4 linked regions of the Tamandua tetradactyla genome follow. The protein of the gene in region 3 purifies or fractionates together with the protein of the main gene of each other region. This does not show direct contact. Links are inferred from orthologs where the notes say so. Each region holds a gene or a part of one and is shown on either strand. Other genes may lie near its edges.

Region 1 (7,358 bases), on a different chromosome or scaffold from region 3:
CTAATATGCAAAAATAGTAAGTGAACAGTGGATTTTAAGGCTAGAGGTCATACAATGCTTAGGTAAAATCAGAAGCAGCACAACAGTCTAAATAAAACTCACTCTTCTTATTTTGTGACTTCAAAGTTTTATTTCCTATTTCCACAACGGTTCTCCTTTGCTCCCTTACTTTGCTACTGTGACACAGTTGCCCCATTCTGCACGGTTCACTCAAAAGGAAGGCACACACGACAACACACACACAAACACACAAGTAAGAGGAAGAGGCAGAAGGGGAAAAGAGAGTGACTTTATAACAAGGGAAAAGAGAGAGAGACAAAGGATGGAAAAGAGGGAGAGAAAAGAAAGGAAAAAAGGATGAACGAGTACTATCTATTCTTCCAAAAATAATGATTTATGTTTATTTAAAATGGTGATGGTTCTAGAAAGTGAATCTTACTATTACACAACAGAACATAATAAAGAGGTTAACAAAAAAAAATTGAGACAGCAGTGGCATAAATGTTCAGAACTCCAACTAATTTCACATAACTATGCTCTTACCTCTGCCCCAACTAATCAATTTTGTGTAAAAGGAGTTAGTAAAACTAATCGAGGCATGTTACAGTATTAAATAAACTGTAATTGTGAATCTTAGATATCATGGAAATTCAGAGCTGGAAATTTCCTTACCAACCATTCAGCTCAAGTCCCTCATCACTCAGGAAGAAACTCAAGCCCTGTCTTGTGACATGTCTAAAATCACAAATGATTGCAGGACTCCGGAGGGCCTAGGATTCTTTGTTCAATAACCTTATGTATTATTCTGCCTGATATTTTATAAGCTAATTATTCACCATCAATCACAGATTTAAAATGATAAAAAGTTTCATCAAATTCAACAAAAGCTTTCCAGCAGCCAGATTGGAAGTAAACACTTTGTAACACAGTACTGTTCAAGCAAATTAAAAAACAAATTAAATAACAGCTTTCACAGGGTATAAACAAAACATCCTAACCTAATAATAAACAAAGGTCCAAAACTAAGTCATTTTGATTAAGTAACATAACATTTAAAATGTAAAGTTATTTCTCTGGAACTGTGGCAAGGATAAAAGGAATATTCAACAAGGCCTGTTTTTGTGCATGATTCTTTGGAGACAACTTATTTAGATTTCTGTTGCCATTTTCCTTTCAGATTAAATAGTAACTTCTTTATCAAGGTTCTCAAATTTCAGTCTTTAGTACAGTTTAAGAATTTAACCAGACATTGTTTTTACCCTCTATATTCATGTCACTCTGATCTGATTAAGAACCGCCCCCCCCCCCCCCCCGTAACCAATCAAAATGAAGCTGCTTTGAATGCAAAAGCTACTGCTTCAGGTCTGGGGCCTAAAAAACTGGATGTTTCTAGACAGACCAGCACATTAGATCGATTTTTTTTTTCTTTTCCGGACAAGTAAACTTGACACGTGACATTAATTAGCGATATATTTCAAAACTTGCTATAGCAGTTTATAATGTTATATACAACAGACATGTGTAAAGCTTTGTTTTAATGTAACGGAAGATAGGTGAGGGAGAGGAGGGAGACAAGCACAAGCCTAAAGTGGCTGATTGTTTTTTTAATGCAGGTATAAAATGAGTCCTTTTTTCAAAAAATTTTAAATAATGGAAAAAACCAAAGCCTTGTTTTCAACAAGACTTCACGCAACACCAGAACGTAAATCCAGGGCATTTCCAATCAGCAGTGGTAGGTTTCTGCTCCCCGAAGAAAACGCGTACTCCTGTAGTTTCACCTCTTCCCCTTCCCCAGTTGTTTTTAGTAAGATACGTTGACGCAAACTTGGGCCGGTTGTCCTTTGGTCCCCCTAGACGATCTCTGGCCTAATTTCGGGCCACATCCTCCGCTGATCATTCCTCCCCCCGTATACCCCTGCTCTCCTTTAATTAGAAATCATACCCCAGATCGCGCCGCTCCCCCTACGTAAGAAGAGAACGCCTGACCCGTCACCTGGAGAACAATGTAACCCAACTCCGAGCCCATAGATTCCTCAATCCGAGCCCTAAGATTTATCTTACAGCGAAGAAAGCGAGTTCCGTCCTGTCATCCTGGATTCACTCAACGTATCCTACTCTCGGCCTAGGATTACCAGCTCCATCAGACCCAGGAGCATTATCCACTCACCTTCCGCCGCCACGACTCTCCCTCACCCTCGGACCTCTCACCGGGACCCCTCCCCACCCCCGGAGCTGCAGGACGAGCTGCAGGACGAGCTGCAGGAGGAGCGGCGAGAGGCACCTCCGAGGGACCCGGGACCCGGAGGGAGGGCGGCGGGGGCGGGTCGAGAGCCGGGTCAGCGCCCCGCTCCCACCGCGGCGCACACGCCCCGTACCTTTGTAGTGTACCCGCAGGTTGTTCTGAGAGAGGCCGATGTAGCTGAACTTGTCCTTCGGGCTCCAGGACCGCGGCAGCGGCGTCTCCTGCTCGTCCACGGCCGGGTAGAGGCGCTTCAGCCGCCGCTGCAGCTCCTTCTCCTGCTCGTTCAGGGCCGAGTCCCCGTGCGGGAAGGGGGCCGCGGCGCTACTGCCCGCCACCAGGCCCGGGGCCGAGGCGGGGCCCGCGGGGAGGCCGGGGGGCGCGGGGTGTGCGGGGGCGGCCGCCGAGGAGGGAGGCGGCGGCGGCGGCGGAGGAGGGGCCGCGGTGGCCGGGGGCGGCGGCGGCGGCGGGTGGAGGAGCAGGGCGGCCGCCGCGGCCCCCAAGCCGCTGCCCGCGCCTCCGCCGGGAGAGCCCGCCGGAGAGGAGCCGGCGCTGACGGCCGCGGGCGCCGGCAGGACCACCCCAGACACCGGGGCCACGGCCGCGGGCGGCGGCGGCGGCAGCTGCTGTGGTTGCTGCTGCTGCTGCGGCGGCGGCTGCTGCTGCCCGGACATCCCGGCCGCGACTCGGCCAGCGGCCACCTCCGCCTCTTCTCTCCTTCCTCCTGCGCTTCCCGGGGGCGCTGTCGCGGCGGCCGCCGGCACCAGGCGCCCACTCGCCCGCCCCGGAAGCAGGCGGCCGGGCCGCGCGCCGAGCAGAGCGCGACGGTTGAGGGCTTGGAGACCGGGACGGGCTGGGGGCCCGGGGCGGCCCCGACAGAACGTTGAAGGGAGCTCGGACGCGCGGCCCTGGGACGAAGCGCGGAGGCTGGAGACGACGTGGGAGCGCAGGCCGAGGACGCGCGCTGGGGCCGCCGGACCGCTGCTCTCGCGGCTGTTTCGCGGCGGGCGGGCGGGCGCGAGACGCTGCGCGCGGGCGGCGCCAGGCGAGGGGGCGGGGACGGAGGGCGCCGGGCGGGGGGCGGGCCGCGGGGTTCCGGGCGAGCGCGCGCAGGCGCAGGAGGCTGTGTGGAATCCGCGTGCGTGCGGTGGGGCGCTCGGCCCAGGCGGCGCGGCGTCCTCCCGGGGCCTCCTTGCGAGGGTTCCCGCCAGCCCCCGCCGGACCGTCCGGCCCTCCTCGCGGCGAGTCTCCTCCTACTTTACTTCTTTTTGTTGTCGTCGCCCCACCTCCCCCGTGGGTTACCGCTGGAGCGGCGACGACAGCTCCCGCCCAGACAAGAGTAATCGAGCTCCGCTGGGCCCGCCGCGAGGCGGACCGCGGGCACCCCCGGAACGCTCGGGTTCGGGGCGTCCGATGGGGTCCTCGAGGCTAGCAGCCTGGAGGGAAGGGGGGTGGGGGGTCCGGTTTCCCGCCTCCCGCTTGGAGGACGCACTGCTTTCCTCTTGCTGCTTTTCATACTTCACGGAATTTAAAACCTTCACATTTACCATATGGGGAGTGGAAACCATTTCTGAAGGCAAATTCTTCCACTTAAATTAGTATTTCATTAATTAACTTAACGAGGACTTAAAGTGGACTTTAGTGGTAGGTATCACATTATGAAAACTCATAAAGACTGGCAAATCTTCAAAGAGCGGGAACATGAACTGATTGAATACACGGGTATAGTGTGTATTTAGGAGGGACTTCTGCAGACGTCAGAGCGTTTTATAGACTCGTTAATTTCATAACAAGCCTCTTTGTTAGGTAGCAAAAGATTCTTCCCATTTTTCAGACAAGGAAATATTCACCGAGGTCAGCACAGTAAAAAAAATACGACTTCCTACTTTGCAATTCCCCGTAGAGTGCTTCGTGGACAAATTTGACACAACTTGGAGTGTTTCCTTCTGACCCATCCAAGTTACTGTGTTGTTTTCACTACTTTCTTTCGTATATAACGTTTTCCTTTCCTAGCCGGTAAAATCTGGCCTTACACGTGTAAACTACATGGTGGAACTACATGATATAAACGCCGACATTTTGTTTGCTTCCAAAGATGTTATAATGGTAATTAGTCCAATAAGCAAAGAAAAGTTTTTGCTGAATGGAGAATTATTTTCTCTTGAAGAGGGTAGGTAAATGGTGATTTAATTGTAGGCCCTGAATCTCTGGCTGGAGCTAATAACAAAGTCAGCCTAATTTCTCCCTCAATTACCCAACCTGATAATCTGTTGTTCCTTAATAAAAATATCACATTGTTCTAACTTGTTCAATGACTTTTTCAAGTCAGTGCGCTTTGCCACATGATTTCATTGTATTTAAATTGTTTTGAAACTCTCATTTCTTTTACAATAACATTGAGTTAAATATAAGCCAAGTGCTATGTAAGTGCAGTAAGGCCTTGGGAGACTAGATGGACTCCAAGCCTCATCAAACTTTCTTGAAATAGTCATCAAGGTTTATTTATGAAAAGGTACTTTTTTTCCTGTCACCACACTTGGAAACCATTTAGAACTTTACATGTCCTAAGAATGGTTGAGGGAACAGAATTGTCTGACATTTAGTTGAAAGTTTTTATCAGAGGGACTGGTTACAGTCCAAACAAGCAACCTCCAAAACTTAATGATTTCTGTTATGGAGGAGGATGCTGGGAAATGAGCACCTTCTTATACAAAGGTGGCAGAGAACACTGATAATGTTTTATAATGCCACATATGTGGTGATGTTTATAAAGAATTATCAAGATGTTTATGCCTTTTGTATTCGTTAGGGTTCTCTAGGGAAATAGAACCAACAGGATATTTGTGTATATATATAATAAATATTATGAGATTTATTATGGGAATTGCCTTACAGGACTGTGGGGATGCAAGTCCAAATTGCATGGGGCAGGCTGCAAGCTGGAAATTCTGATAAAGGTTTCCATGAATTCCCCAGAAGAAGCTGCCTGACTGAACTAAAGATGGAAATTCTTTCTGACTGCTGATATCAGTTTTCCCTTTAAGTTCGTCAGCTGATTGGATGAGTTCTCTCATTGCTGAAGGCAATCTCCTTTGCTGATTGTAGATGGAATCAGCCATAGATGCGATCAACCGACTGATAATTTAAGTCCACGAAATACCTTCACAGTAATTATCAGGCCGGCTTGCTTTACCAAACAACTGGACATCCTAAGCTACCCAAGTTGACACATGAACTTAACCATCACAATTTATATATTCAAAAAATCACAACTCAAAAAAAAAAAAAACTACAATGTGGAAGAAATTTAGGCCCCAAAATATCAACAAGAAGTAATAAATAGGTTGAAATACAAAAGTAAAATTAATGTTCAACATGAAGGAAGCTGTAAATTATCGTATATGTACAATAATTTCGTATATGTCAAAATTGAAGACTGTAGGAGTACATAAACCCATTTGTGTTAGTTTTTTACAAGACATCCCTTCTGGGAAGTGGAATTGCCAAAAGAAGGTGAACAATTACAAAAAGGCACCCCTTCCTCTTGACTTAGTGGATCTCAGCTGGAATTTTAACCTCTCTCCATCCAGGTCCCCTTGCACAAATATTACTAGGCCTCATAAAAAATGTGGTTTAGAAGGCATGGAAAATGATTATGAGATGCTAGATGATAAAAAGGCTAAATGATCTTTTTTTGGTAATTTTTTAAGTACCAAAAAACACCAAACAAACGCAAACATTCTTAACTCTTGATCATTCTATTCTACATATAGAATCAGTAATTCATAATATCATCACATAGTTGCATATTCATCATCATGATCATTTCTTGGAACTAAATGATCATTTTAACACTGCCAAAGTAGTTGTTTAAAGAGACATGAAGGGACATCATATAATGTTTCTGTATGGGCCCCTGGATCAGATAAATCCTAAAATACAGAGGGCCCAGCCTCTCCAGAACATCAGCTAGTTCCATCCCCCATCCCACATTATTGACAGCCCTTTCCAACATGAAAAAGTCAGAATAGGCGTAATCCAACCACCACCTACAGAGTGAGAAAAAGATCAAAAGTGATGGTGGAGTTATACAGAGAAGGTAGAGTTTAACACAAATGAGTATGATTGCTGAATCAGTATATTGATATTTCTTTTAGTCTCCAGGGTGTTGGAGCAGCTAGTACTAAAAACCTAAAATTGTGGAATTATAACCCATACCAAACTCTGAAATCTGTTCTACAACTAATTATTGTGCTGTGCTGTGAAATTTATTGCTTTTTTATATGTTATTTTTCACAAAAAAGAAAACAATACATAATGTACTTAGTGTTCAAAAAAATAAATTTTAAAAATGTTTCTATAACGGACAATTATAACGTATAAGTAAAAGTACATTTTTAATGAAAACTTTAGAACTGTCCATAGAACTATAAATAGCCAAAATCCATTCGCCATAAGCTGAGTTTATCTACATTCTTCCTGAACCTATATTTTCAGTTCTTACCATATATTGCCATAATATTGATAAGTATCTGTGTCTGTTGGGTTTCTCGGTAACAATAGAAGTTAACTGGGCTCTCTTAAGCAGAGAAGGAACTAATTGGAAAGATATTGAATGGTTCTCAGAATTGACCAGAAGCCTGGACAACCAGGCCTAAAATAGACAAAGACCAAAGGAGGGCAGGCCGCATAAGTAGACTATCCACAGTGTCCACTGCCGGGTGCCACCTTCACCACTGTTCTAGTTTTCTAGCTGCTGCAAAATATACCAGAAACGGAATGGCTTTTAAAAGGGGGAATTTAATAAGTTGCTAGTTTACAGTTCTAAGGCCAAGAAAATGTCCCAATTAAAACAAGTCTAGGAAATGTCCAATCTAAGGCATCCAGTGAAAGATACCTAGGTTCAAGAAGGCCAGTGACATTCAGGGTTTCTCTCTTGGCTGGAAGGGTATATGGTGAAGTCTGCTAGCTTTCTCTTCCAACTTCTTTTTCATGAAGCTCCTCCAGAGGCATTTTCCTTCTTCATTTCCAAAAGTTGCTGGCTGGTGGACTCTCTGTTTTGTGGTTCTGCAGCATTGTGCTGTGGCTTTCTCGTCATTCTCAAAAGGCATTCTCTCCA
Region 2 (7,658 bases), on a different chromosome or scaffold from region 3:
TTCCTGAAATAAAAAATTTGAATATTTTCCTGAAATAAGGAAAATATTTATTAACATAGTTCATTACTATAGCAATGCAGATATTTGTAAGAACTGTCTACTTGATATTTTTGAGAATATTCAGTTTTGACAGCTGATCAAATGGTATCTTAGTTTTTAATACTTAGAATTTAAGAACTTCGCTATCCAAATATGTAGAATTTTTCCTTGTTGCCTTAACTTTTAATTGGTTTATGAAATTTACTGCAAACACAGGCTTTACAATGATTATATGGATATTTTATTTAATTATGCCTATGGTTAAGCTAACTAATATCTATTTTTGGCGGTTCTAAGTGTATTGCTTGTTTTCTTAAATAAAAACATATTTAAAAAAAGTTATTACCAAACAGCTGTGGTAAAATGTGTAGGTATTCATGATATGTGATAATAGCTAATACAATATTTTATTGAGAATAACACATGCCAAGCATTTTACATTTATTACCTCATTAACTTTTATGACAACTTTATGAGAAAAGCCCTACTTTCTCCCCATTTTATAGAGAAGCAAACTGAACTTACTAAATACAAACACTGATCGTTTGTCAAGGCTAGGATTTGTACTTCAGATTGTTCTTAACTGACCACACACACCACACTGGGAATCTTAAACATTTTAAAAAAAACTTCTATTAACTTACAAAAGGTGTGAGAAAGTTCTGTATGCTATTATTTGAAGTACTTCCCTAAATATCTTTCCTACAATAAGCAGATCTAGCGCAGCTACTGCCAATAATTGAATATTAAATCCGGCATTGCTTTCAACCATAAAATCAAAGGATCTTTTAAATCTAGAAATACGCACAAACAGTATAAGAGTAAACTCACAGGGACTGGCTGAAAAAGAAAAAAAAAAAAAGGTAGCCTAGGAATTGGGGAGAGTTAGTACTGAGCTGACTCAAATTCTTATGTTAATAAACATTAGAGAACTATCTACCTGATCACAAGACTTCAAATTTGTAAAACAAAATGAGGGGGTACATGTAGAGCTCGTTATGCGTTATCATGAGGCTTTAGTTATAAGGTAAAGATTATTTAGTTATACAACAAAGTATCACCATCAAAGATCAAGGCACCTGGGTTACAGTTCAGGGAGTTTCAGTAGTTACAGTATTTATTTTTGGATGTTCTACAATATATTAGAAAATAAGAAAGCATCTATATAACGATTCAGTAACCACAGTCATTTGTTAACTCTTAAATCTTGGTTATAGGTATATATTACCTGAGAGAAATGTATACCTGTAACATGTTCTCACAAAAGCATATACACAAATGTGCATAGACGACTTAGTCACAATAGCCAAAAGTTGTAAACAATCCATGTGTCCATCTGGTTTATACATACAAAAGATAATTATTTAGCCATAAAAAGTAAGGAGTATGTGCTACATGGATGGACCTCGAAAACATTATGCTAAGTGAAAAGCTGAAACTTACGCTAAGTGAAATAAATCAGTTATAAAAGGACACATACTGTATGATTCTATTTATATGAAATGTCATGAATAGGCAAATCCATAGGGAAAGAAAAAGGGTTGGCAGTTATCTAGGGCTGGAGAAAGGGGGGATTTGGGACAACATCCAAAGGATACAGGGTTTCTTGGGTGGGGGGTTGATGAAAACATTCGAAAATTATGGTGATGGCTGCATAATTCTGTGAATACACTAAAACCCACTAAATTGTCTACTTTCAATGGGGATATTACATGGTCCATCAATTATATCACAATAAAGCTGTTAGAAAAAAATTCTTCAGGCCACATGTATTTGTGCAGCAATTAATGTAAATGGGCTAAATGACTAAACACACTCTATTTTCCAAATGGTTCTTGCATCTACCGCTGGGATTGGCAAACTTGTTTCTGTAAACAGCCAGACAGTAAATATTTCAGGCGTTTCAGGCTATCCCATCTGCTGCAACTACTCAACTCCACTGTGGTGGTGAAAGCGGCTACAGACCATCTAAACAAATGAGGGTGGTTATGTTTCAATAAAACTTCATTGAAAAAAAACAGGCTGCAGGGCTGAACCCCTTATCTCCAGGATGTCCCTCAATCCACACAACCACTCTACGAGAAAGGCAGGAACAGGTCTTGCCTCTGAGGCCCAAGACACAGCTAAATGACTTGTTCAGGTGACAGCCAGGCCGTAAGTGGTGAAAAACAGCCTGGACTGCACCGCGTCTGCACTCAGCACTCCTGAACGCCTCCCACCCAAGCAGTCAAGGGTATTTGCCAGGCCACAAGCATCCTCAAGTAGGTCTCCTCTCCAACATCTCAATGGCTCTTGCCAAAATGCCCCCTCTCCTTTGGAAAACCTCCAGCGACAAGCCCAGTCCTCAGGGGCCAAGCTCAATCTCCTTGCCAGTCGAAGCCTTCATCGAGAAGCAGAGACTCTCCCATCCGGTAAGGTCTTTGCAGAGCATGCAGCGGCCTGATACTAGGCACCCCTCTCCCACACTACCTCATTCATTCATTCAATTTTTTTTCCACATATGACCACCTCCCATGCGCCAGGTACTGCCAAAAGCCTCCACGACTGTGTCTGCAGCGGAAAGGAAAAGGAGAGAGCAGATCAGTTGCCACCGTGATGGAACGTGAGCAGTTACTAACCAACACGAACTCCCGGCTTTTGTCAACTTGAGAAACTCCGGCTTGTGTCCCCTTTGCTCATGCTGTGCCTCTCTGGGATGCCCTTCCTCCTTCCTGTTTACTGCTTCTCATGGGCCACTCCAGGCCCATGAGATACATGGATGAAGCCTCCACTCCCTGCTACATCCAATCCCCTCCCCCATTTGGATAAAATTCTTTTACCTAGGAGCCAAAAGGGTCCAGAGAAAACTAAGTCCTTTAACTTAAAGAGGAAGATGAGCCCCAAAGAGAGCAGTCACATGCCCAAGATCACACAGCACTCCAGCATTAGAACCAGACTTACATTCCTGCCACAGTGCCTCAAACTGCCTGGGGTGGTTTGGATTTCTGAGAGCAGGTTGTGACAGCAAGGTCCCTCACACCAGGCTCACTGTCACCTCTGGACGTGTTCTAGCTACCTAACACTCTTCCTCCTCCTCTTCACCCAACTCCTACTCATCCATCAAGGCCCAACTTTAATGCCCTATTACTCACGACTCTTTCTAGATCCTGAGCACCCCCAACATGGGAATCAGGGCGTCTCTGTGTTGTCGCAGCTTCTTTGTATTATAACTTCCTATTTAATCAGAACAGTATAATCTTCTGCACTTGACAATGAACATTCTCAAGGTGGACCACACCTGTCTTGAAACCACTGCACACCCTACCTCCGGCATAAAGCAACTAAGGGAAGGGAAGGAGAGTGTCACTACTCTTTATTCACTAAAATGAGATCCTCCCACCCAAAAACCTCTCCCCAGCAGGAGGGAAAGGGCCAAACCGTTCTTCAAGGCCTCACTCATCAAGGGCGGAGGGGGAAAGTGTCGGTATGTGTGTGTGTGTGGGGGGGGGGGGCCAGGCAGGCCAACCTTTGCCCTCCACGACCTCTCTAAGTCTGCAGCGTGACCCTGGTGAAGTCCCGATTCAGAACCCGAATCTCTCCGTCCGAAACCTGGGATCACACCAGCTTGCGCTGCTAAGGAGACGAAAGCCGTGAGCTTTGAGAAAAAACGCCCGGGCCGAGCGGCAATGACCGTCTAGGGCTGACACACCCGGGCGCCCTCCGGCCCGCTCTGCCCTAGTCTGGGCTTCGCTTTCCGGGTCTGCACAGGACCCTACCTGGGTACCCACCCTGCATGGCTGAACTCCTCAGCCCACCTTAGCCCGGCTCGGGCCCTGGCCAAAACGGAACGGACCCTGGCCTCACCTGTCGGGGGCGCGTAGGCCCGGGCCGGAGGCAAATGGTTTGGCCCCGACCCCAGGGAGGCCGCGAGGCCACGCGGGGGCCCGCTCAGGAGGCGGCGCCCCCAGCCCCGCAGCCGGAGGCAGCTCCGCCACATGGCTCCCGAGGGCCTGGGGCGACGCGCGGCGCGAAGCCGGAGAGCAGGAAACACCGAGCGAAGGAATCCCCGAATCGCGCCGTCGGGCCGTACGAGAACTCCCCTCGCAGCCTCCACGGATTCCTCAGCGTCCCCGGGACGCCGTCACCTTCCGCGTGACGCCAACGGCGCGCCGACGCTCCCGCGCGCCTCCGGCGCACGCCCCCCGTCAATCAGCATCACAAACGCGCCTGGCCCCGCCCCACCACGCCGCGCCTCGGCAGGAAGACTACAAGTCCCAGAGGGCCGCTCGCGCACCCTGCCACGTGTTTCCTCCGCCCGCCAATGGGCGGGAGCGCCGGCTGAGCCTGTTCCTGCCCCCCGGCGCGCCCGCACCAATCGGAAGGACTGGTGTGAGTGAGTGAGAGTGTGTGTGTGTGTGTGTGTGTGTGTGTGTGTGTGTGTCTGTGTGTATGTGTGTGTGTGTGCGAGGGCAAGTGAGGAGGGGATCCAGCGCCGGACGGGGAGGCCCAGCTCGCAGATCCCGGGGTCCCGGGGCTGCCGGAGCGTTGGTCCGCAGGCAGTGGGCGGGTGACCCCTCCCCACCCGCCCCCGCCGCGCGCGTGCGCGCCCCGCCCCGCCCTCCCCGCCGCGCTCCTCGGCTCCCGCGCGGCGGCGGCCGTTCCTCTCCCCTCCCCCCAGCCCTGGCTCCCGGGGACCCCGCGATGCCGGTCCGCACCGAGTGCCCCCCGCCGGCCGGTGCCGCGGCCGCCTCGGCGGCCTCGCTTATCCCGCCGCCGCCCATCAACACGCAGCAGCCTGGCGTGGCCACCAGCCTGCTCTACAGCGGCTCCAAGTTCCGCGGCCACCAGAAGAGCAAGGGGAACTCGTACGACGTGGAGGTGGTGCTGCAGGTGAGCGCCGGGCCGGCTGGCCGGGCCCGAGGGCCTCCTCGCGGCGTTCACGGGCCGGAGCCGGGCCCCGGGGCCTCGAGCCCGCGGCCGCCGACCAGGCCGGGCCGCCGGGGCCTGCTGCACCCGCCGCAGCTCACCCGGGACCGGCCCCGCTGGCGCCTCAAACTCCGCGAGCCGCGGCCCGACCTGTCCCCGCGGGCCCGGGGCTTCCGCGACCGGCTCCCGGCACTCCCTGAGCCTTCCGCCGGACCTGGCTCCCCGGCACCCGACCCCCACGGGATCCGGAGCCCCCCCATGACTGCCCCACTCCGGCCTGGCCGCTCCTTCTTCTTGACTTGTCTCCTCTGGAGTAGCCCCTGCCCATCCCTCTCGGGGGTCCCCCCACAGGCTAGGCCCATGCCAGATTCTCCCAGACTTGAAACAGGCCCCCCTTCTCAGTCCCAGGGATCCCCCAAGATCAGGGCAGCCCCCCCTCGAAAAAGTGTGGTCAGCCCTCCTACCTGGGAGTCCCTTCATTCCGTTAGCTCCCAGGAGTCCCCACCCACAGCTGAGTCCCCAGACCGTGCCCCCCTCCCCTCAAGACCAGCCCCTCGCACCCTGGGAGCCGCCCAGTGGGGCTCCTCACAGCCTGTTAGCATCTTGCCTCTTGCGTCCCCCGCGGTACCACCCACAGTTCCAGCCTCTGCATGCTCCCAGCACCCGGCTCCTCGCAGCTGCCCCCACCCCCAGGCCTCCTGTCCTAGGGTTCGCCCACTCCCTGCCCCCCCTGCTCTGGCTACTTCCAGTGTCCCAGGGCTCTCCCCCCAGACCTCCCCACCCCATACCTTCATCTTCCTCATTCCTTGCTCCAGGGAGCCCTCTTTTCTGTGTTCTTAACTTTTATCTGCACCGGCACAGGGCTTCCTCCTAGTCTCTGATACCCGCGGGCTGGGAAATCCAACTCACCCAGTTCTGTGTCTCACATGGATATTTCCTTTCTGTGTCCATCCACCTCCCCCTACCTGACCTGGATCTCGAGTACCTGCTGCCAGGCCGGACCAGGCTTTGGGGCTACAATGCCACCTGCCCTGGCCCGTCCAGCACCTCTCCCCTCCCACACAAGCGGTAGCACACATGACATTTTTCCCCAGCCCAAGGAGGTTGGTGGTGTGAATACCCCTTTTTATCTTTCCTCCCCACAAAACCATTTTTCCTCCATGCCTGCTCCTGCCTACCTTGAAACCCACTTTTCTCCCTCCCTCTGCCCCTTTTTCCTTAGCCAGACGCCCCACCTCCTAGGCTGTTCCCCCAAAGCCTCTCCAAACAGTGGTCCTCCCTGGAAATCCTACAGAGAGTTTCATAGTCCACGTGTGAAGCCTGACAGCTTCTGTGTGCAGGGAGAGAATAGAGGACGTGTCCCCTCCTTGCAGCCCTCCTCAGTCTTCTTTTATTTTAAATCCTAAACCGCTTCTCTTCTGAACAGACAGGTCTCCCAGCAAAGTCAGTGGGGGGACGTTTTTCTTCCTGCTAACTGTAGCTCTTTTATCACTTTCCATTTCACACTGTTCCATGGAAATAAGTAACTTTCTTCTCTTTTTTTTGGACCAGGAGGACTGCATCCTCATGTTAATTCTATCTTGGTCTGTAAACTCCAGGCTCTAACGTGAGCTGTGATCTCATTGTAATTGAGAAACTACTGGGCTGAGGTAGTTCAGTTCTTCAAAATGATATGTCTAATGCAGTGATTCCCCTTTGCTTTCGCTTGATATGTGAAATGTAGTGTGAAGGTGAGGGCTTTATCTTTTTGCAGCTAAACATGAAATCCTGGAAGTGAGATCCCTGTTTGGACCACATTTGGGATGAGCTTGAATTTGTGTGCTTTTTTAATTGGATGGTTTCCAGTGCTGTAGGGACAACCAGTGGGGTAGGTAGCTAAGTGTCAGAGGAGGGTCTGCCCGGCAGCCTGCAGGAACTGCTCTCGTCTGTCGTTAATGTATAATATTCCTGAACTCACGTCAAGTGCCAAGTTTCCCTTGAGCCAAGTTGAAGGTGTGACTGAGCTGCTGAGTTTGTAGAATCTGATGTTTGGAGAAACTTCTGCACTGCTGATAGGTCTCAGGACAGCCCAGAGGAAAAGCCTGGCCAAGTGCTAGAAGCCGCATGAGTGGGGTGGCTGATGGGGGCGGAGAGACAGTCATGCCAAGGAATGCCGCCCTCCATCCGGCTTCAGCGGCTGCTTGGTCACCCCAGGGACTCATCAGCGGCACGGGAATTGCTCCATCATCTGGTTTTTCAGCCAGGACTAGTTTCTTCGACTCAGCCTTCTTAGACTACTTCTGCCTTTTGTAAGGCAGCCACTTTCTTTCCCTTCCTTTCTTCCTTCTTTTCTTCCTTTTCACAGCTTTATTGAGATAGAATCCACATACCATACAATCCATCCATTTGAAGTGTACAATTCAGTGGTTTTAAGTATTTTCACCGAGTTGTGCAGCCATCACTGCAATCTAATTTTAGCACATTTTCATCATCCTGAAGGAAGCCTTATGCCCCTTAGCTTTCACCCCCCAACTCCAGCTACCACTAATCTACTTTTTGTATTTTAGATTCGCCTATTCAGGACATTTTTTAAAAGCAGAATTATACAATATGTGGTCTTTTATGACTGGCTTCTTTCACTTAGCATCAGTATTTGATTCCTTGGCCAAATGATAGCTGTTGTATGGCTGGACCTCAGTATTTGTCTCTTCATCAGAAATGGTCATTTGGGTTGC
Region 3 (7,367 bases):
AGAGTTGAGGAACTGGTTCCCTGGACTCTAGTTAAAGAGCTCTTCTGAAACAGGCAGTCTCTCCAGCATGATGCAACGTTGTGTCCAATAGGGACCTTGAGGCACCTAAAAGTCCCCAAGATTCTACTTTATTCATATCACATTCTTGCAAGAGTATTACCACACATAAGCCCAGGCTCCAAAGCCATAACAGAGTCCCAACTGGAGTCTCTCTCGGTTCACAGAAGCTAATCAGATCACTTGCCCAAGACTGGTACACTCCGAAGCTCTCAACATTCTCCTTTGAAATGGAGTTCCACATTCAGTTCTCAATAGATATATCTCTGAGAAGGGTATATTTCAGATTCAATATAATAGTTTAACTATACTGAAAATTTGAAAGTATTTCAAACCAAAAAGTTTTTTTAAAAGATTCAATGTAGTATCTACCATATCACCTGCAGAGAACTTTAATTTAGAAAGCATCTGCTTTGAAAAAACCATAACCCATATACCAAACTTGATGTTTGTCTTCATACATAAAAGATATCAAAAGAAAAAAGAGAGATTTTATTTTGGACTCTCAACCTGGCACTTCTGGTATTATTTTTTTATTTTTTATTTTATTTGCATGGGAGGCACCAAGATATGAACCTGGGTCTCTGGCATGGCAGGCGAGAACTATGCCTGCTGAGCCACCATGGACAGCCCTCTGGTATTTACTTTTGTTTCCTGTTTTATAACTGCCTTTAGTCACTTGATCCTATCATTAAAGAATTAAAGGAAAACAGAGGGATACCAATATAAGACTTTCCGTTTTGGTAGACAATAAAAAATAAGAGTTTGAAAAGGGAACTCACACCAAGTCAGACTGGTTTAACATCATGGCATACTGTGTGGGTATGACCCCCGGGACCATATATTCATAAAAAAGTTCCTTGAAACTGAGCAAAGAGACCTAAGGTGAAACCTGCTTTGGCAATTCCTCACAATTACTTAATCCATCTGGGATTGCCCCCAAATCCCCTAAAACAAAGCTAACAGTCACACCTCCTTGGATAAATACACTCTGCCTTAGGAAAGAAAGGTCCATCTTCTCCTTCTCAAACCCTCCCTATACAATCTTTTGATCTGAGACCCTGAACCTAAAATGGAAATGTTGCTTCCATCTCCCCAAGTGTAGGCCTTTCATTCTCTTCCTATACTAGTTCCTTCCATTTAGCCTTTAATAAGGCAAAGATTTCATCTCTGGCTCCAAACTGGGGAGGGGGCCAGGAGGAAGAAGACACCTTCCTCCCTCAGGCTGTATGTGAGTAGCCTTGGGTCTCCTTACACCCAGTGTGCATCATATTTTTCTCCTTAACTCCTAATAATCTGGCCTGTCTTAAACCTATGGAACTGCAAGCAGAGTCACTGACTCCCACTAGCCAAAGAGCTGCTGGCCAAACTTTCTTTTCCTAAGTCTTTGCCTGTCCTTTTCAGTTTTGGCTGGCTCCTTCTTTGCCCTACACTCTCAAAGGGAGGTTCAAGGTTGTGGTTCGACCCCACAATCTTTTGTCTCCTACACCTGAGTGTGATCTCCACCTACCTCTGTAAAAATAACAAACAGTCGTAGATCTTTTCTCCCAAACTCCACCTATGCATCTCCAGCTGCTAATAAATATTAAACCCTTGACTCTTATCTTTGTTAAGCCATTCAGCTCCGTCTCACATTTCCAAAGCCAAGAGCCTTACCAGGATTCTCACCCACTCCACCTCCACTTCCCCATTGCTACCAATTATATCATCACCTGCTAAAACAATCAAACCACCCTTCCCTGGCAGCCTCGGAGGTCTGCTGGTTTTTCCACATTAATATTTCAACTCTTATTCTCTCTAATCCCACCGCCACAATGGTTTGCTTCCTTCCCTGCAGTTCAAAAGTATTGTCAGGATGGATTGAATAATATGTGAATAAAACTGTTAAAAAAAGAAAAAGTACGTCCACAACAAGATGTTGTCCTAAGACTCCCTTACCATGGACTGGCACTTACCCTCAACCCAAACACAGTGGGGGTTCATGGGGGATGGGATGTGTGAATTAAGGTGTAGAAGATGAAGGGGGCAAAGGAGAGCGAAGCTTGAAGAGTGTCACTTCCCTCACGTCAACTGTCCCAAGCATCAGCATTTCTCCCCAGCCACCAACCCCCCATTTACATAAGCTTCCCTTCACAGATCACAAGTTGAAAAAGCACCCCCAGCCTCTCAAATAAACCAATTAAGTAAAAAGATTTATTCTTGACCAGAAACCATCATTGCTGTGACTATTTTAAGGCAAGAACACCAGACCTTCCACGTTATATATTAAAACCAAACCAAACCAAACCAAACCAGAACCTTTCCCAACCAGCTTCCACAAATTAACTTCGGCAAATAAATCCGTCCCCAGGGCCTGGGAAAGTGGTGAAATAATATCATAGGTAAAACACCTTCCCCAGAAAACCTGTTTTTTAGAAGGAAACAAGTAAAAACTTGACCCGGTGAGTAGAGGCACGAAACAACTCGCTTCCCACTCAGTCTCCTTACAGGCTCCTCTAGGGGAACGGAATAGTTGGATCCCGGTTCCCCGGGAGCCGGTTCAGAGCTTCTCCCCGGCAGTGGGCTCTTGGGACTGCGGGGACTGCCACCGTGGGCCGCACTCGAGGCTTTCGGCACAGCGTATGCAAAGGTGAGGACCACCTTCTTGGGCTCCGCGCGCTACCCGCAGGCTGCCGGCACTCCGGGGCCAACCGGGGGACGAGGGACGGTCCCGCTACGCCGGGACCCGCCGAGAGGTAGGGGCAACTGGGGGAGGCCGGGCCGCCCTACCGTGGCTCTGCAGGATCTCGCGCCGGAGGCCGCCGGCGTAGTCGATGAGCTCCTCCAGGCCGCGCTCGCAAAGCTGCCCATAGCCCGAGAACTTGTGCAGCACCTTCTCCAGCTCGCGCTCCACCGTCACGCACTGGTCCATGCCGGCGCTCTGCGGCCCGAGCCCGGCCGAGGCCGCGTCTCGCTCCTCGTCCCCAAGGCGCGCGGCGGCTGCGGCGGTGGCGGGAGCGACAGGCGCGCTAGCCACGGCGCCGGGGCAGCCCTGACCGGCCCGTGCCCGCCCGCGCCATGGCGCTCGGCCCCCCTCGTCCCTGGCCCGGCCCGCCGCGCTCTGCTGTCCCCGCGGCGCCGCGGATTGTTTTTGTTTTCCCGGGAGCGTCCGATGACCTGGATCTCCCGGGCGGCACCAAGCGCGGCCGGACCGAGGGGCGCAGCCGCTCGGAGGAGGCGACGCGGGCCGAACCAAGCACACGCTTGCGGGGGAGTGAGGAATTCGGACGCGCTGCCGCTCTAAAGGTGTGCGGTCCCCCGCGCGGAGGGCGTGGAAGGGAGCGGGCAGGGGCGGGGCTAGGGCCCGATTGGCTCGAGCCGCGAAACAGGGTGCTCTAGGGACCGCCCCCGTGCTCCGTAAACAGGGGCGGCCTGGGGCCTGGCCACGCCCCCGAAGTCGCGAATGGGCGCGGGGAGCGCGTCAGGAACTAACGCCCGCCAATTCCTGGCCGAGGCTCACACGTTAGCCAATCCGTACTGAGGGGCCAAACCAACGGTCTCGCTGTTGGAGGGGGTGCCACGGATGCGTCCTGAGGCTAGCCGTTTTTGAGAAGCCTTGGGGGGCGGGGGGAGGAGAGAGCGGGAAGCAAGACAAGTAAGAAGGTTCATTTCCACAGGACTTTCTGCTAAACACACCTTTAACTATCCGCGTCGGTCCCAAGGGGAAGAGACATCGTAGTCCGGAAGTTCTGGCAGACGGGCCAGCTGCCCACGCGGAAAGCCAGGCCGGTCGAGGATGCAAATGGCAGGGAAAGGCGACCGTCGCCCCGTAGGCCCCTGACACCCCCTGGCCAACGGCTAGGAGCGAGGAAGCCACCGCCGAGGAGGGGCGCCTTCCCCTGATGCAGTGTGCGGCGGGCTGCGCGGGCTAGTTCATCCCCCCGCCCCTGGCTCTCGCCCCTCGGCCGCGCCCCGCCTTGCGTTCCCAGCGCGGGCCCGCAGCGTCCCCTTGGATTCTGGGCCTGGAACACTCTCCTGCCATTCTTGTCCTCGGACGAGATTGCTGCTCAGATTCAAGATGGTATTTTTCTCATCTTCTCACTACTCATCAAAATCTGAAAGGAGCCTGTTCAAGTATTTCTTTACTTTTACGTCTCCCCGCAACGGCAGGCACCTTGCCTGGCTTTTTCTTTGCCTGGGACCCTGCCTGGCAACGTGGTAGGCCATCCCACCCCCTTTCTGTTTAAACTGAGGTGATAACATTTTTTAAGCCTCAGTTTCCTCTTTTTCTAATTTGGAAACATTAGTACCTACTTCACTAGATTGTTAGGAAGATGAAGCGAGATGGTGCACATAAATGCCCATAATAGGCCACAGGACAAATGGCTACGGTGATTGCTATTGTCAGTTCCCAGGAAGAAATATTAGATGGCAACGCAAAAGTTGCAGAAGCTGTGATCCAGCACCCAGTCCTTTCGTTCATTTCTTGGTACTTCTCAAGGGCAGTCTGAAGGGTTGCTGTTACAAATTTCCTTTTTCTTCCCCTCTCTCCCCATAACTTTCGCCTCTCTTTCTTGGCAGACAGCCCAATCCAGCTTCACTGAAAAAGATAATGACCATTTACTGCCAGCACTGTCTACCGTGCTCCTCAAAGCAGTTCTGTCCTTAGAGTCCATGTTGTGAACCTCTTGGGCCCAGAGGAACGGGAGTCCCTTCTTTTGGGGCATGCTGGCTTCCTCTTCTCCCTCCCCATATCTTCCTCCCTTCCCTCTGCATGGAGTTCTTTCTTTTTTCTGCATTCAGGTTGAATATAACTGACCTACCTGGGGTGAGGAGTGGGACCGAGAGAACTTCAATTAATCCTTTTGCATTTTCAAGCTGGTTTCCCTTTTCCTTTCAGTCCTTTCATTGCCAAACTACCTAGACAAAGCCTCTACCCTTGTTCTTCCCTTTTCTCCAAAGATCTCCCTAAATAAGCTCAATCACCCTCTTCTCTGTTTTTTCACTTTTATCTCACTACAGCGTATGAAATTCTGATATCTTCACATATTAATTCTCCCTTGACCACGAGGGCATTGCTCTAGTCGGGTTCAGTCACCCCTTCTCCCTTGCTAGTCCTTCTCAGTTAGCCTTCTGGGTGTGTGGGCATTCACTCAGGATTCTACCCTCAGCCTTCTCTTCTCCTTTTACCTTCTATCCCAGGAGAATGCTCTACACTGGGCCTTTCAACAGTTAGTTACCTCTGTGGATAACTTCTTTCTCCATCTGTTATCTGCCTCATAAACTCTAGCCACACATTTTCCTCAGTTAGCAAGACATCATCCAGGAGACCCATGATTACTTCCAATCGACATGTCAAAACCATTTTGCCCTCCCCAAATTAACGTCACCACCACCACCACCCCTGGACTCCGAAGTTTTTGCTGGCATTACCTTACCTCTCCCAGGTTCCTCTGCCTCTTCTCTATCTTGGTCTTTAACATACCTGTAGGATTCTTGAAAACCTTTTCTTCATCAATTCCCCCAACTTCACTAATCTGGTTCTTTTGCCATTCATCTAGGTCCTTCTCAAGATCCATTTGCTAAGACTTCTGTCTTCATTCAGCCCAGAATCATTAATGACCCCCAGGATTTTGTCCTCATTAGGGATACAGATTATCTCCTTTTTTTCATTCACCCTCTATATATAGTGCAAATTGCCCCATTTTGTTTTCTTTTGTTTGAGAAGTGGGTTTACAGAAAAGTCATGCATAAAATACAGGAGTCCAATATACCATCCTATTATTAACATCTCATCTTGGTGTGATATGTCTGTTACAATTAATGAAAGCATATTTTTATAATTGTGCTATTAACTATAGTCCATTGTTTTAACTTAGAGGTCACTGTGTTGTACTGTTCCAGGGAATTTTTTAAATTTTTTATTATGGTACCATATATACAACCTTATAGTTCCTTTTTAACCATATTCAGTTATATATTTCTGTGCTATTAGTTAATGTTCATATGTTGTGCTATCATCACCACCATCCATTACCAAAACATTTCCATCATTCCAAATAGGAACTCTGTACAGTTTAAGCCTTAATTCCCTATGCCTGCCCCATTCCCTCATAACTATGTTCTAGATCCTGACTGTGAATTTGCCTTATTTCATATCAGTGAGACCAAACAATATTCGACCTTTCCATCTGGCTTATTTCATTCAACATGATGTCTTCGTAGTTCATCTGTTTTGTCACATGTATCACAATTCCGTTTTTTTTAGAGCTGAATAATACAGTAAGACCTCGTCTTATGCGACCAATACCTTCCAGACCCTTTGCATTAGTTAAAAATTTGCAAATTGAAAATCATGCATAATAGCAAACCTCATTTTTTAACAGGTGTTCCTTATACAAACATACTTATCATACATTTTTTAATACGTAAGGCAAACACTCCAGCAACAATAAACAGTTAATCATAGAAATAATTTTTTTAAATATTAATTCTCACTCTCTGCCTTTATTTTTTTCGATTGCCAGTCACCTACACCTAAATTCATGTGTGTTGAGTTTGTGTAAAACAAGGTCCTACTGTATTCCATTGTGTGTATATACCACATTTTGTTTATCCAACTCAACTAGATTTTTAGCTCCCAGTTCAGGACCAACTTATTTTGCTTCTTTTTCTCTCCCATGATTTAATCAACATAGGAAAAGTGCTAAAGAAAAGAATAAATAAGAGAAGAAAAGGCTGCAAATTTAGCCAAGAAGAGAGAGAAAAATAACATATATAAAGGCAGAGCTTTTATGTCCCCTCATTTTTACTGGCCTTTCCTACCCAGTGCATAATTGCTGTAAGTCTAAACTTGTCTCCTCAGAAAAGGGTGTTTAGAAACAAGAGAGAAACTCAGTTTGCAGGACAACTGCAAATTAATTTGGATAATTGCATTTCCACGACACAACAAAAAAGAACTACCACACATGCGCAAAACAAAAAAACTCACTGCAGAATGAAATGGACTTCTGCCCCAAGTCTGTTCAATTTGGAAAATCTTTAATTTGCAGTCATTCTAGACTTTGCTCTTGTCCTTGCCTCCACCCCAAATTTGATTCTCTGTGACATTACTCAAAAAAATGTTTGAGTAAACATTACTAAAAAAAGAGGGAAAAAAAAGCTTTTTGTCTTTGTGATAAAAAAGTATACATTGTAGAAAAACTAGAAAATACAAATAAATGAAAGAAATAAGAATCCTTTGAAATCACCCAGAAAAATAAATCAGTTTTAACATTCAGGCTGAATGTCCAGAGTTTTTTTTGTGTGTGCATACATATACCTGCATATGT
Region 4 (7,927 bases), on a different chromosome or scaffold from region 3:
GACAAAATAACAGGGCCTTTTCCAGTAAAAGTCACTTAAAACTGAAATATTAAGTCAGTGGAAGGAATCCAGATCTCTAGGTTTGAAGATTTCCCTTCTGAAAAGCTGCCCTCTTTTCTCAAGAGCTCAGCTGTTATGTATGATAAAGACTACAGAGAAACAATCCATTTCTCTCCCCAAGAGTTTAAGAAATGCCCCTCAGTTTCTTTGGCAAGATGGTAATTCCAATACCAACATTTTATTCTACACTGTAACCATCTTGGGGAGATATTGGTTTGTTTTGTTTTAGGAGGCCATCTGATTCATACTAGTTGAAGCACATCCAATATATGTGTTTTAACAGACGGTGGGAAGAGAAAGTGGGGGTATTAAAGCCTTCTAACAATATAAATTTCCTATCTGTAAATGTACTAGATGGGGATAAAAATGAAAGATGCTATAGCTTCCCTTCATCAGAATCAGAATCACAGAACTCTGTGGTTAAAGGAAGCTAAAATGCTGGACTAACTTCCCACAGTCCAGACAAATAAATGAAGCTCCAAGACCCACAAAAGGCCACAGCCAAATTCGACATCACTGAGGAAGCAGGCAGAGCTCTGACTCTGGCAGTCCTGCTCTAGCACAACCCCTTGGCTGGGCATTCTGCATATGCTACAAGAGGAACAGTACCTAGAAGAGAGGAAGTATTTTGAATGCTCAAGAATACACACTCAAGGTTGACACAAAAATCACTGGTAAGGTTGGTAAATTTCCCCTACCAGACCTGATGGAAAACCTTTCCAAGGTAGCCACAATCATATTATTTCATAAGCACCTACTTGGTACATTCACTGTAAAAAAAAAAAAAAAAAAAGGGAGAAGAAGAAAAAGAGAAATGAAGAATATCCCTCCAATATTTCCTCTGATTTCCTGTGTCTGTTTAGATCACCCTCAAATAGGGAGTCCTCCTAATGCTGACTTTAATGAGGACCTTCTAAAGCTGGTACAACTGGTACTCAAGTCCCTGGATTGAAAAACAAGTTTATGGGCAGCAAAGTCACCTGACTCTGACCATGTGTATGCTGTTTACCCTGAGATGACAGGCCAGAGGCTGCCACAGCTTTGATGAATGCTGCAAAGACTCTACTATTCCTTTGAAGCCTACTGAGGCCACTGCATGACTAAATGCCATAAAAATCTTGAATGTGCCAAGGCCATGAAAGGAGGGAAGTCACAAACACCTAACTGAAGGGGAAAACCCCAATCAGGACACTGAGTTGTTAATGTATGCTTGTTATTTGTTTCCGTGACCTGTGAAGTATCTCATGACATCATCAATAAAAAGCAATCCTCTCCACCTCCAACTAACCTACTTGTCATCAAGATATGCTTCTTAGACCAAGCTATGCCTACAGCCAGGGAATTGAAACAGTCCACTATTCCATCCTCTGCAGCCCAGAAGTTCCTATCAGACACCATAAGTGGTCCAACTCTGACCACAGGGCACAGGTCAACGTAGGGGAAAGACAGTGCTAACCAGGCTTACCCATCTCTTCCTTTGCTGACAATCTTCACCTCGAAGTAATAAATGCCACAGGCAGCAGGTATGGGGTGGGTGGCGCGCACTGAGGCTGCATCTTTGTGATTTTTGCCATGACCTAATAGGAGAGAGGAGGAAAGAAATTTCAGCAGAAGATGCAAATGGAAGCTTCATTCTTCTTTGTTCCTTGGCAACTTCAGCAGAGCTCAAAAGCTCATCTCCTGTATTTTATGTATGATTGTTCTGTAAACCCACAATCTCTTTAATAAAAACTAAAAACAAATTAAAAAAAAAAAACTTACCTCTCAGTGGTCAGAGAAAGCCCTCGCACCATTCAAGGGAAAATTAGAGACAACTAAGCAACCATGTAAACCACCTACCTTTGGCTCACCTCCTCCTGAGAATAGCAGTCCTGCCTGAGACAATGTTTCCCATACAGAAAAAAAACGGTGCAGAGAGTATGGGTACCTATGTGAAAGTCCCCTGAGCTGCTACCAGTCTCTCAAGAACTGGGCAGCCCACATTGGAGGGAGCCCAGTAGAAGGAGGCACTGGAAAACCAATGCTAAAGGTTAGTGCAGAATCCCTGGCTCAGTATGGAATGTCTGGCAGAAAAGCAAACCCATGGGCCCCTGGCTGATGGTGGGGTTATGACCACCCTTTTCTTTAGATATAAGTAAAACTAAAGGGTGGTGAAGGGCCCAGCTGGAGTTGGAGCCATCCCAGGACAAGTAGGGAAGGCTTCGGGTGGAAATTCCTGCCCAGCAATGGGTCTGGACACCTGTTGCACTTCTCTGGACCTCGGGTTTCTAAGGGCAGAGCAAAGCGGGCAGTGAGCCTTCGGCCTGGTCAGCTAGACCACCCTGGACACCCCGCTGGGCTAAGGCCTAACCCAGAGCACGAGGGCCGGGGAAGGGCCCTGACCCGGCAGAGGTCGAGAAGCATAGCCGCCCCGCAGATGCTCCAGTCTTTCCCCACTACGGTCAAACTAGCCAATACCTTTGTAGTGGACGCGGAGGTTGCCCTGGGAGAGGCCGATGTAGTTGTACTTGTCCTTGGGGCTCCAGGAGCGCGGCAGCGGCGTCTCGTGCTGATTGACAGCAGGGTACAAGCGCTGCAGGCGCTGGCTCAGCTCTTGCTCCCCCGGGGACGGTAACCCGCTCCCCGTGCTCCCGCCAGAGGAGTCTCCAGCCTGCGGGTTCCCAGCTCCCGGGTCCGCCGCCGCCGCCGCCATCTTGGAGGGAGCTGCTATTGTGTCACTGGGGGCGGGGAGGAGCCAGACCAGATCCTCCCCGCTCAGCCAATGACCAGCGAGCCTGCTGGGACCGCAGGGAAACCGAGTCCGAGTCCGCACCTCTCTTCGGACACTGGCACACCTCGGTACATTTTGTACTCCATATCCCACAATGCAGAGCTCTCTAGGGGCGGCCCAACTCGGACTGCTTGTGACCTTTGGGAGATGAAGTCTATACCTGCTCAGCCATGAATCTGTCCAACCGAGACTTGAGGACACTAAAAACTACAATTCCCGCTGGCAAAGCGCCTTAGGCCTCTTAATGAACCTCCCGCCCCTCTAGCAGCTATTTATCCCCCCGCCTCAGTTCTGTTAGCTAGGGTCAAGTCCTCTGTAGTGACTGATTCCGAGAGGACCCCGCTCCTGGGCCTTAGTCTATCTTTGTTTCTTGGTCTTCCACCCAGCCCGCGAACGCTGAGCTCGGGGGCGTGGCACAGCCCTGGCCCCGCCCCCCACCGCCGAGCCGCTGGGGTCTGGTCACCATGGAGACGGGCTGTACACTACCGAAGTTTCTCAATCCCTGGGTGCTGGCTGCTCTGCAGCCGGAGGGTCATGGCCTGCTCGCCGCCGCAGCGCTCCAGCTTCATGCCCTTACCGAGGTAGGCGCTGGCCGAACCAAGGGCGGAAAAAGGGCTTAAATATTTCTGGCGAGGGAAGCGGCACCTGACCCAGACCTCTGCACTCCTGCTGGCCTCTTTCTGGTGCCCTGGGACTCCAGTCCCAAAGGCGCGGAAGTGCAGAAATAGAATCCGGGCTGGTCAACCCAGGAAGGACGTTACGTTCTAGCAAAAGGGCAGACGCAGTTTATCACTAGTGGTAACAGCCAGCTTATATCGAGCATATGTTATGCGTTAAGAGTTTTATATAGAGAGATCATGTTTTGAATATGCTAAGTAATGGAGCTAGGATTTGAGCCCAAATTATGTCAAACTGCAGAACCTGAACTCCTAGCTATGGAGCTAAACTGCCTCTTCACTCACTGCTTTATATGTGGGTGCTGGCTAACTCTAAGCAGCCCAGGCACATCCCACACCCACTCTGCCTGGATTCATGGATGCAGCCTCTGGACCCTACAAAATGTAATGACAAATCCCGTGGGCCAGGAAGGCCACAAAAAATCTGTATTAGAACAAAATTTGGGCTAAATACTTTTTTAGCTTTAAGTCATTAAGTTCTTAAAGTACCAGGCCTCGGTTTCTACATCTTAAATATGGGGATGATGTACCCCACCTCACCAGACTGGGAACATTTAAGCAGAAAATGTGAAGCTCCCGTCATAGCTCTTGCATATAATGTGCACTTAGTAAGTGCTAAATGAGTGTAGTTTCCCCTATCTACTCATTCCCAAAGCGAAATACCAAATCTTACCTCCTCTAATCCTTCAGGACCTGAAACCTTGACAGAGAAAGCCTGCAAGTGTCCCCCTAGAAAAAGGAGTTAAAGACTATTTTGATTCTTTTATCTGGAGCTAAAATGACTCTACAAGAACCAGGCAGCAAGTTTGAGAAAGAGTATTGTTACCCAGCACAAGAATGATTTAGGAAAACTGTAGTCATGTTTGGCAGGGATTTGAAACAGACTCAGAAAAAAAAATCCCCATCTATTTTGAGAAGGAAGTACAATGTAATTGCTAGGGCTAAATTTGGTGGCAGTACAAAACATCACTTGTTCCTGTCTGTTTTCTTCATTCACCAGTATTTACTGTTCACTTACATTGTGCCAGGCCTACTGTTTTTCTACCATTAGAGCAAAGCCAGGATGAAGAACAGGACAGAGCCTTAGCACTGTAGAACATATCGATAATTTACTGCTAATATGGACAGATGAGTTAAAAAATAACAAAAAATAAATAAATAATAAGGGGGATAAGGAGTAAAGCAAAAATCAATACTAGTGGCCAATGAGAGGTAGGGGTAAAAGGTATGGGATATATGGGATTTTTCTTTTGTCTTTTTATTTCTTTTTCTGAAGTGATGCAATGTTCTAAAAATGATCGTGATGATGTATATACAAACTATGTGGTGACATTGTGAGCCATTGATTGTATACTTTGTTTGGACTATATAGTACATGAAGCTTAGAAGCTTATCTCAATAAAACTATTAAAAAAAAAAAAGAGAGACCCGCTAAAAGGAATCTTTGATCGTGAATTTAAACTTCTTAACAACTCTGTGAGATGGGCAAAGCAAGAATTACCTCCATTTTTTGTGAGAGAACTGAGGATGAGAGAAGTTAAATGCCTTGCCTAAGGGAATCATGTTGGGAAACCCAGATGTCAGCCCCTAGGCCCTATCAGTTTGATAAGTGGCACATACAAGACTGGCACCTGGTTCTTGGACCCCAAACCCTGGTGTTCTTGCCCTATAGCACCCTGTCTTTGGTACCATACCCACCAGAGTGTGGCAGTCACGTACATTAAACTGTCATTGCAGCCATAGCTGAATACTGACTATAAGTGTAGGCCTACCGGGTTCTCTGGACTCATGGTAAGGGTATCCTGCTGTTGCAGGAGTTGGTGAGTCTCTGGCATTGAGAAAGTCTCTGGGGAGGCAGGAAAATGGTTTGTGCCCAGGCCCAAGAGCTTGCTTGACAACACTGGGAAGGCCCAGGGCCTGCTTCTGTGGGGGAGAGGAGGCTGTGTCCTTTGGATCCAGGGGGAGGAGTTCTGCCTGTTCAGGGTCTTTCACCCACCACTAGCTTCCCTTTCTCTGTGCAGAACATACCTACGGTCTTCAGGAGTGATCATAGATGACTCTTTTGTCCCAGAAGCCAAGAGTGTCCAGAAACGCAAGCTTTCTCAGAAACGGAAGACACTGGTGAGTGATGATGCCCAATTAGAACCCCAGATGTCAGCCTATAGACCTCCTCCTCTCAGACCCAAAAGCACCACCGATCTGAAAGATCTCTACCAGAACTACCTCTCCTGAGTTGGGGAATATGGCTCTGGGGATAAGGGAGTGTATACTGTCTGTACTCCTCTAAGGCTCCCCAGAACTCAGCCCCTGCCCGTACACCCCCTCCCTCTGCAGCTCACCATTCTTCATTCAGCCTGCCCTGAGCCAGGCACTGTAGTAGGTACAGGGTTGTTCACATCAGGGCTGCTCAGCCTTCAAGGTTCTGATGGTTTTTTGTCTTTTGTTTTTTTTTTTTTTTTTTGGTAACAGTATCTTTTTAACTTAATGGCTCCAGTTCCTGAATAGGTACTTGAGAGACTGGTGTATGATGAGAGCTTCATAAATGTTTGTGGGTGGATATGTGAAGGCAGGAGTAAAGGGATGTTTTTCTATAATGCTGTTGGATCAGGTTTGGAAATAGAGATTCTTTTCCAGCCTCAGGAAAAAAATCCTGTTCTTCAAGATTTTTGTATAAAAGTTAATACTGTCTTATTAAAAACCTTTTGTTAATATGACTATAGGATTGTTATTATTTAACCAGTAAATAACCATTGCGCAAATCTCACAGATTATGTATTATATCTATCTATAGATACATGCAAACTTATAACTCCAGCTCACAGTGGAGCACCATGAGCTGTGTGCGTTTTCTTTTGTAAACGTGTCCTGTGTGCAGAATTTGAGAACACATGGAACACAAAATTTTCTAGTCTGGGGACTCCCAACAGGAGGACCCCCAACTCCAAGGAGGGAAAGGAGGGCAATGTGGATTCTTTGCAGAGACCATGTTAAGCCATGGCCCTGCAAGACCTGATGACTTGGGGCCAGTGCCCACCCTATCGGCCCCCACTCGCCTGCCACCTACTCGACTTGGGACCCGGCCCTTTTGCCCTTCTTCCGCACTGCAGCTGCGACGCCGTCCTCAACCGCCAGGGGGCGCTATTCCCCCTCATCGTTCTCCAGTGCCCGCCAGGGAAGCTGAAAACATGGAGTCCCAGGGCAGACTGTGCGGCCGCTGGTTCTCCAATTTCCCTTCCCCTCCGCAGTCAAAGTATGGCGACCGCGTTTCAATCTGACAGAACCCACAAACAGGACACGAGAATTGACCTTTTGAAAGTCTGAAGAACTAATTTATCAGGCAATTTATCAGGAATTGTTCTTGACAATTTCTGGCGTAATGTATGGTTACTTTGCACTTTTATAAAAATTTCATCAATTTTGAGTCGTTCAAAAAAACTTTTTCTAGCTTAATTTTTAACAATTTGACTTTTAATTTTTCCAAATTTGCCTATTTCTACTTTTATCTCCTGTTTGTAATTTTATTGCTTTCCTTTTGATTACTAGTTTTTTTCCTTTTCAGGCAACCAGAGGTACAGTCCCTTAAGGATTTCCTATTCGATAGTGAAAGTATTTCACGCAATTAAAATAAATGCCTTGTGTCCCCGTGCCTGCCCATGCAAAAATAAATAAATAAACAAACAAATAAATAAATAATAAATACCTTGTAAGTTTGCTCTAGCCGTGTCCCAAACAATTTTTTTCCTTTTACTTATTTATTGAAGTCATAGGTTTACAGAAAAAAATCATGCATAAAATTGGCTTCTCAAATATTATCCCACACTTTTGCATTAATGTGGTGACTTTGCTGCAATTAATGAAGAATATTTTTATAATTGTACTATTAACTATAGTCCATACTTTAGGAGTCACTGTTTTTGTTGCACAGTCCTATGGATATATATGTATTTAAAATTTTTATTCTAGTGACATATAAACAACCTAAAATTTCCCCTTTTAATCACATTCAAATATATATTTCAGTGCTGCTAATTATGTTCACAATGTTGTGCTACCATATCCACCATACGTTATCAAAAATTTTTCATCATCCCAAATATAAACTGTGTACAATTTAAGCATTAAGTCCGCATTCCCTACTGCCACCCCCAGCCCCTGGTAACATATATTCTAATTTTTTACTATGAATTTACTGATTCTAATATTTCATATCAGTGAGATCAGACAATATTTGTCCATTTGTGTCTGGCTTATTTCATTTAACATAATGTCTTCAAGGTTCATCGATGTTGTTGCTTGTATTAGAACTTCATTCCTTTTTATGGCTGAATAATATTCCATTATGTGTATATACCACATTTTGTTTACCTATTCATCAGTTAATGGATACTTGGGTTGCTTCCATTTTTTGGCAATTGTAAAT

Evidence for each region.
Region 1: the proteins of RMND5A (region 3) and RANBP9 purify together in Homo sapiens (affinity purification with mass spectrometry; 9 studies listed by BioGRID and IntAct, counting the BioPlex papers as one, with this or other methods). This does not show direct contact. The link is inferred for Tamandua tetradactyla from reciprocal best matches to the Homo sapiens genes RMND5A and RANBP9.
Region 2: the proteins of RMND5A (region 3) and GID4 purify together in Homo sapiens (affinity purification with mass spectrometry; 4 studies listed by BioGRID and IntAct, counting the BioPlex papers as one, with this or other methods). This does not show direct contact. The link is inferred for Tamandua tetradactyla from reciprocal best matches to the Homo sapiens genes RMND5A and GID4.
Region 4: the proteins of RMND5A (region 3) and RANBP10 purify together in Homo sapiens (affinity purification with mass spectrometry; 4 studies listed by BioGRID and IntAct, counting the BioPlex papers as one, with this or other methods). This does not show direct contact. The link is inferred for Tamandua tetradactyla from reciprocal best matches to the Homo sapiens genes RMND5A and RANBP10.

Annotation. Positions count from the first base shown.
Region 1 is NC_135351.1:16,820,110-16,827,467, forward strand, and holds the start of RANBP9 (ran-binding protein 9), read right to left. Parts: upstream 3,017-7,358; 5' UTR 2,914-3,016; coding exon 2,376-2,913; intron 1-2,375. UniProt on the Homo sapiens protein: May act as scaffolding protein, and as adapter protein to couple membrane receptors to intracellular signaling pathways. Acts as a mediator of cell spreading and actin cytoskeleton rearrangement.
Region 2 is NC_135332.1:1,681,687-1,689,344, forward strand, and holds the start of GID4 (glucose-induced degradation protein 4 homolog), read left to right. Parts: upstream 1-4,642; 5' UTR 4,643-4,719; coding exon 4,720-4,908; intron 4,909-7,658. Other genes in the region: ATPAF2 (ATP synthase mitochondrial F1 complex assembly factor 2), read right to left, coding at 3,883-4,015.
Region 3 is NC_135343.1:60,346,546-60,353,912, forward strand, and holds the start of RMND5A (E3 ubiquitin-protein transferase RMND5A), read right to left. Parts: upstream 3,020-7,367; 5' UTR 2,969-3,019; coding exon 2,827-2,968; intron 1-2,826.
Region 4 is NC_135342.1:61,645,794-61,653,720, forward strand, and holds the start of RANBP10 (ran-binding protein 10), read right to left. Parts: upstream 3,017-7,927; 5' UTR 2,753-3,016; coding exon 2,518-2,752; intron 1,638-2,517; coding exon 1,526-1,637; intron 1-1,525. Other genes in the region: TSNAXIP1 (translin-associated factor X-interacting protein 1), read left to right, coding at 3,365-3,411, 5,529-5,628. UniProt on the Homo sapiens protein: May act as an adapter protein to couple membrane receptors to intracellular signaling pathways.